Linked DNA regions of Pelodiscus sinensis. The protein of the gene in region 2 interacts with the protein of the main gene of each other region in a biochemical or structural test. Links are inferred from orthologs where the notes say so. Each region holds a gene or a part of one and is shown on either strand. Other genes may lie near its edges.

Region 1 (3,916 bases), on a different chromosome or scaffold from region 2:
AGAGATCTGCTATTTGTGCACACTCAGCCACAGAGCTTCTCGCTTCAGCGAGCCATTTACGTGGTAATACATTCTGGTCCCGTTAACCTTTCAGAGCCAAAACAGGAGAGCGAGAACGGCATCGCACCCCTCCTCGTGCACCAACGGTGCACTGAATTCTATATACAGGGCCAACCCGTCACACTTGCACAAAATGGTGCCAAGGCAACGGGAATCCACGGAGGGCCACTGAGGTCACACTCGGAAGATAATCAGGGTGCCCCGTTATTAAACGCGCACCGATCCGTAAATAGAAGCGAGTAAGCCAAATCTTGGCCCGCCACTTCCGAAAGGTTGGCGCCCCGGATCTAGCCGGTACTCGGTCCTGTGGCGAGGCCAGGGGACCGGACTCGTCCTCTCGAGGTCCCATCCCAGTGCGCTAGGATCCTGGGCTGTGCTGGTCTCTTCCTCCTGCCCCTCCTGGGCATTTGTCAGGGTGGTTCTCTCGCCCAACAGGGCGAGGCTGGCAGGGGGCGGCGGAGGCCAGGGCCCCTCCCCACGCTGACAGGGCGTGGAGGCTGCGCCCAGCCCGTGCCCTCGGCCGTTTCTGGGGAACCTCAGGCGCCCCCCGCCTGTCGGCGGCAGGGCAGCGCGGGAACGGAGGATGCCGCAGTGTGCGGCACTGCAGCGCTGCCTGAGGCAACGCTGGGAAGGGGGAGGGGCGAGCAGGCGCGTCGGGGGCGCTCTCCGCTGAGGCGGGGCAGCGAACGTTGGCGGGGGGGAGGGGAGGAGCAGGCGCTCACTGCCCAAGGGCCGCCGGAGACGTTTTCCCGCCAGCCCACTCGGCGCGCGCGCCCCCGGCGAGCCAGCGCGCGCGAGGCGCAAGACGTCCCTGGGGGCGGGGGAGGCAGCGCGTGACCCGGCGCGCGCGCGCGCGCGCGCTTGCGGACAACCTGGGGCACCGCCCACACCCCGCGTTCGGGCGGCCGCCGCTAGGGCACGCTGGCGCTGTGATTGGCCCGCGCGGCGGCTCCTGCCCCCCCGCTTTGTGCGGCCGGGGCCCGTTGAGAGTGGGAGGGGAAACCCCGCGCACGGGGCGCCGCCATCTTGGATAAGGGGAGGGGGATGGGGCCGCAGTAGAGCCGTCAGAGCCGAGCCTGTGGGAGCCCCGGCGAGAGGCAGAGACCCAGCCCAGCCGCCGCCGCAGAGCCGCACAGCGCCCCGGGCTGCCACCGACACAGCCAAGCTGCACAGCCACCAGCTCCCCGAGCCCAGGTGAGGAGGAAGCGGCGGCGCCGCCTCCACAGCGCCGGGCCCACAGAGCCTCCCCCGCCCCGGCCGGGCATCCTCGGGGCGCCCGCGGCATCCCTCCCCGGGGGGCCAGTCGGGCCCGCAGCGGGGCCTAGCCCGGCACCCAGGCCGCGCCGGCTCCCGCTCCCCGGCCGGGCCCTGGCTGCGAGGCCCGAGCTGGAGGCAGCCGGCAGCCCCGCCCGTGAGACCCAAGCGGAGGGAAACGAGCCGGAGCCCTCGGGGCTGGGCCTGCCGGGTAGGACAGGGCCGGAGCGAGGCCTCCGCCGCGCTGCTGCTGGGGCCTCCGCCTCCTCTGCGCGGCTGCCCCCTCGCTCTGCCCTGCTGGAGGCGCGCCGTGTGCCCCGGCATTGCTCGTGTGGCGGGGTCCGCACGGGACGGGGGGCGTGCTCGCCAAGTTCACTGCTGTCTCTGGTTTCCATCCTTCCAATGCCGGTGGCGTGACACTAGTCCCAAGTATCGATAGCGCTTGAGGAAGGGTCACCTGCCCTCTAAATAGCGACCGAGATGTAGCCGTGTTAGTCTGGGGTAGCTGAAGCAAAATGCAGGACAATGTAGCACTTTAAAGACTAACAAGATGGTTTATTAGGTGATGAGCTTGCGTGGGCCAGACCCACTTCCTCAGATCAAATAGTGGAAGAAAATAGTCACAACCATCTATACCAAAGGATACAATCTTAAAAAAAAAAAGTGAACACATATGAAAAGGACAAATCACATTTCAGAACAAATCTTTGTCTGAGAGGCCTCCCCTCCCCCCAGCAATGCTCTTGTACATTACATTGTGTCTAGAGGTGGTAGAAGAAAATGGATTTAAAAAAAACCCTGGTTATGGTTTTGTGTCTCTGGTCTGTTTGACCATTACACTTCTGAATTGCCTTTTAGTGGTGGTATTGTGGAGGGCTTATTTTGGAAGCAACTTTGTGAAAACCATTTCACTGGTTTCATCAGTGCTCCAAGCATGGGAAGTTGTTAATCAGGTTCTGTCTACAGTGTTATTGCTTTCGAGTTCCTACTGTTATGGCCTTTTTTTTTTCTTCTCTTGCTGCTCAGTTTCTTTATTAGTCTTAAATTCAGTGGCTACAGGAAGGGTGAATGGTCCATAAGTATAAGTACAAGATCTTATGTTGGATTTTGAACTGATTTTCCCCAGTAAGAAAATGGCATTTGTCTAGGCTCAAAGTTTTGGGATTACCTGTTAAATTTTGTTTGTTGGGTTTTGAACTAGAAACTGTTTCTCTATTGGATGTAACTTTGTGTATTTTGTGTATTATGTTAACTGAAATATTTTGAATAAAAACTTCTAGAGACTCTAGCCCAAAAAAGTAAACACTTGAATTATAGACCCAACCAGCACTAAACTGTTAGGCAATTTTACAAACATAAGTCAGAGTCTCTGTCCCAGGGGAGTTGTTATATAAAGGTATAACTGCATATGAGTTATAGGTAAGCTACTGATTCCTGTGAAGGATTGGGAAACCACTTAAATCAGAGCTATGGTAAAACACTCCACTCTCAGGGTTTTTTTATTTATTATTGAGAGCCTTGAAATTAGGGACATATGGTTAGTTTGCCATGAATGAAGCAGTCATTAAAGGAAAACATGGAGTATTTAATATGTTAAAATTGGAGGTTTTGAAATATGTTTATAACCCTAGCTATCCTTAAGTTTATTTCCATGCTTCAATGTATCCAGTGGGCCCTTAAGACTTCTGGTAGTTCAGGAAGGTGTGAGGAGAGAAATATGCACTTTCCCTACTGATCAAGAATGTGTTGTATCCAGCTGATGACTTACACAGCCCAGTAATTTATTGCTAGAGAACTGTAGCTAACTTTCTTTCAGTCTAGTTATTACCAAAACTTTGTAGTGTGTAATTTGCCAATTCATATTTAGCTTTCAATAGATAGATATCTATGGTAGAATGTGGCTCTGCTGCTAAAGAAACAGTGAAGTCAATGTCTCATATCCAGTTGATTGAAGTAGAAGAAACTTGTATATTTCAGAAAGCTACAATTTAGCAGCCTCCTTGAAGTGGTGGTATTGGGGAGTTCTGAATAAAATAATACGGTTAAACTCTTTTCCTTGAACAAAAAAATAACCAACAACAAAAAACTGAAGATAAAATTCAGGTTAGAAACCAACATTGAGAGGTTAAGTGACTTGTCTCATACCTTGGACATTCTCTGGTTTTGATTGAGTAGTCATACCTATTATAAGTGCAAGGTGAAGTTTCATTACTATTGAGACTTCTGTACAGACTTTCAATATACCTCAAATTTGCTTGGTTGTGGTGTCCAACTTTGTTTAAGGGGTTGTGGGGTTTCTTAATTGTCACTTTGTATCAAATATGTTCCATTTAAGTGTTGTTCACTTTTCCTCACTGCTACCTGTAGTCTCAGCCTGGGTTCTTGCTACATTATGCATCATATATGCATATTAAGGTCCTATGAGCCGACTTTGTCTTCAGTGACATCTGTAAGTGTACCTCAGAGCCATTGCATTGGTTGCAAATGTATAACTTGTAGCAAGAAGGATGAACACTAGTTGCTATGGCTCTGCAGTGCTAACAGGGTAAAAACTATTGAATTATTTGACAATAAACAGATGATTAAAATCAGGAAAAAAGCT
Region 2 (3,916 bases):
GTATCAGAGGCAGCAGCGCAGGGCAGCAGGCAGCCGGCCTGTGCAGTGAGGGGCTGGTTTTTAAACTGTCTTCCCTTGTGGACTGGCTCCTGCCTGCCATCTTCTGCTGATATAGAAGCAGCAGCATGGGGTGACAGAGGGCTCACTGGCTGCTGGCCCTGCCCTTGGGGACAATTGAATAGTTGTGTAATCACTAAGATTTCATGCAGTTACACGATTATTCAATTACGCAATACATTCCTATTTTTCCGTTTACTGTGCAATTGAGAGCACTATCAGTATTCATGTTCACTGTACCCCACCCTCTAGTTGGTTCTCTCTGTGTACACTAAAACGGAAGGGAAGTTACATAAAAAAGCTAAATATGAATGTTTGTCTTTTAGGTAGGACTTGAACTGTGTTAGATCAGCCTGCCAGGGGACAGAGCTTTCAGTAAGTACAATAGACTATGACACTTCAGGGTCACCTCAGAATCTGATACCTCAATATAGAAATCCTAGATAGAGAGGTGAGCCCTCTTAGAGAATGTAGATAGAGACTTCATGTCCTGCCTTTATCCCCTATGCCTGGGACTATTTTGTCTCTTTTAAATTAATGTTGCATTTAATCTGCAATGTTGGAAGATTTCCAGTTCTTCTGATTTTGTCTGGTAATTTTTGGAAGATTGACAAGAAACACTAGCTAATAGATGCAGCAGTAAACACTACAGAGAAAGTGACATCCTGACCCTACTGAAATCACTGGCAAAACTCCCTTAGACTTCAGTGGAGCAAAGATTATACAGGCAGTCCCCGAGTTACGCGGATCCGACTTATGTCGGATCCGCAGTTACGAACAGGGATTTTCTCGCTCCGGAGGACTGGAGCGGCGGGACGCCTGGTCCCGCCGCCTGCCTCCTCCGGGGCGAGAAAAGCTGCTCCCCGTCTCCCTGGTCTGCTGGGGGAACCAGCAGACCAGGGAGACGGGGAGCAAAGCGGCGGAGGACCCGGGCCGGACCCACGGCGCTGATCTGGAAGCGCCGCGGGTCCGGCCCGGGTCCTCCGCCACTTTGCTCAGCGTCTCCCTGGTCTGTAGACCAGAGAGACGCTGAGCAAAGCCACGGAGGACCTGGGCCGGACCGCGGCGCTGATCTGGAAGCGCCGCGGTCCGGCCCGGGTCCTCCGCCGCTTTGCTCCGCGTCTCCCTGGTCTGCTGGAGGGGGGGGGGACGCAGCTAGTGCCCCTCCCCAGCAGACCAGGGAGACGTGGAGCAAAGCCCGGGGCCTGTGGTAGAGCAGGTGGGGCGCTGCCGGTTGATCCCGCAGCACCGCTCCTTGGCGCTACTGGACCAACCCGGCAGCATCCCAGCTGCTCTGCCCCAGGCGTCCCCAAGTCAGCCGCTGCTGAAACTGACCAGCGGCTGACTACAGGAAGCCCGAGGCAGAGTTGCTCTGCCCCGGGCTTCCTGGAATCAGCTGCTGATCAGTTTCAGCAGCAGCTGACTTGAGGACGCCTGGGGTTCTTAAGTTGAATCTGTATGTAAGTCGGAACTGGTGTCCAGATTCAGCTGCTCTTGAAACTGATCAGTTTCAGCAGCGGCTGAATCTGGATGCCAGTTCCGACTTACATACAGATTCAACTTAAGAACAAACCTACAGTCCCTATCTTGTATGTAACCTGGGGACTGCCTGTACTTATTAAGCAGATTTAAGTTCTGCAAGGACATCCATAAATGTTTGCTAATAAACTATTCAGTTTTTATTAATATTTTTCTAAAATATACATAATTTTAATATATTATTATTAGATTTTTACATCTCTTATTTTATAATTGCTTCATGATGTTTCAATACTGTGTGAATGAGGGAGACAGATTAATGTGATTCGAAAGCAATATATATAGTTTCCTTGTTCTAGTCAGCCCAGCTGTAAGTAAAGAAAGAGACCATACTAGACACTGTTGCGGTCATGCTACATGTAAGCTGAACTTTTCTGGGTAAGTTAGAAAGAAAAATGTATAAAATAAAAAGCCATCCTCCCAAAAATATCAAAAGGTTATGTTTTCCCTGAGCATGTAAAAGTTCGCTGAGATTTGTTCTCTGGGTTCAAAAGTACTTTGCATAAATCATTACAGTATCCACAGGGGATAGGTTTTTTTAAATAAATGCAAAGTAATAATGCATCTCTGACACTTGCAGATTATAACTAACTTATTTGTACACAGTACAAGGAAGTTTACTGAATAAACATAATCATACTTGTTTTTGTTGTGTTGTCATTGCTGACTGGTTTGGGTACGAGTCCTATCAAAGCTGCAGACTTCAGAGCGTTGCCATAGCTCACTGCTAAGTTTTCTGAAGCTTTCTTGGCCAGTGAAAAGATGGGAGCAGACCATCCCGATTCTTCAACAGCTTTTTCTTTCACCTCGTTTTTCAACTCAGTTACATTAGGAATCAGGTTTCTGTCAATTATTTCAAAATCTTCTTTCTGTTTCACAGCAGATGCATTGCAACTCTCTCCTTCAGCCATCTTTAAAATGTCATATGACACTAGTCATGAGCAATCGAGTTAAGCAGAAACTCCCTGCTCTGTAGGTGATAGGAGTTGTTTCATGACAAAAGTGCTGTGCGTGGTTACACAACAACCAGTCGCATGAGCAAAAGTGTCAGATACTAAACATCCTGATTGTGATATGCTCCAAATTATAGCCACAGCTAGTATATTTTCTGGTTACTGATTATCACAACAAATGATACTCTGTTAGATATTGTATAGTGAATGTCCTTTTATATTATTACAATTCTTATTTGTAGCTTTCTGAAAAACCCAATGCAGCCTCTGTACTTCTACACAATATTTTAAGTTAGCATTTTCCCAGAGTATATGAAGTCACAGATTTTGCAGCATTTAAAAAACACATTGAGTCTTTTGAGACTGGATTGTCTTTTCTAAAACGGGACCATCATAACCTAGAAAAGAGTATTGAAAGAAATTACTATATATTATGAAGAGTTTGTTTGTGGATTTGTTTGTGCAAAATAAAGTCATATCCCGATTACCTACAGATACCAAAATTTACATAAACAATCCTGCCACTGAAATGATCTGAATGCACTACTTTTTACACTGGAATATGATGGGTGAAAGGTTTAAATCAGTGTTATTCAAATGGCAAACCGCACCAATGGGGGTACGTCTGCACTGCAACACTATTTTGAAATAAATGGTGCTATTCTGAAATATCTTAGTCCGCGTCTACTCAGCAGGCAGTTATTTCAATAGTGTCAAAATACTGTCAAGCTTGAGGACTTTTTACTCTGACTCCTGTAACCCTCATTGTATGAGGAATAAGGGAAGTCATTAGAAAAGTACTCAAGTTAAGCCTTGCAGTGTAGACATACTCTGGGAGCCGTGAGGCTCTGTAGCTGTGGAGCTAATAAATACACAAACTGGAGCAGCCTGGTATCAGCTTTCTCAGAGTGGGTTCACAGACCACTTTGAGAAACACTGGTTTAAATAGTAATTTTTGGTTTTCATTGGAAAAAAGTCATGACTATTATTATTAGAGTCTATAAAAAATATTTGCTAACAAAATTAAAATCGAGTCGCCTATTCAACTGTCATTTTAGTGCAAAGAAAATTTTTATTGTTACAAATCACAACATAATTCAGATTAGTTATGGAAAGAGTAATGGAAGCTGTATAAGTTTCTGATTCAAATTTACTATGTGTAGTGATTATTCAAGAAAATGAATAATGTTTGAAGTTGAAATCCTACAAATTCAAAACTATTATGTTACTTCCCTTTTGTAAGTACATTAATAAAAAAATCTATTACATATATTTAATTTCTTGAACTTCCTGTAAGTGTAATCTACGCAAAAACGCACCTGGTCAATGTTGGGCCTCACCTTAAGTTTCTTATATATTTTTGAAAG

The links.
Region 1: the proteins of RUFY1 (region 2) and RAB14 form a complex in vitro, tested with the Homo sapiens proteins (2 studies listed by BioGRID). The link is inferred for Pelodiscus sinensis from reciprocal best matches to the Homo sapiens genes RUFY1 and RAB14.

Annotation. Positions count from the first base shown.
Region 1 is NC_134732.1:21,461,868-21,465,783, forward strand, and holds the start of RAB14 (ras-related protein Rab-14), read left to right. Parts: upstream 1-1,114; 5' UTR 1,115-1,254; intron 1,255-3,916.
Region 2 is NC_134727.1:34,045,911-34,049,826, reverse strand, and holds the start of RUFY1 (RUN and FYVE domain-containing protein 1), read right to left. Parts: upstream 2,536-3,916; 5' UTR 2,508-2,535; coding exon 2,237-2,507; intron 433-2,236; exon of another isoform or gene 384-432; intron 1-383. UniProt on the Homo sapiens protein: Activating adapter involved in cargo sorting from early/recycling endosomes. Regulates retrieval of proteins from endosomes to the trans-Golgi network through interaction with the dynein-dynactin complex.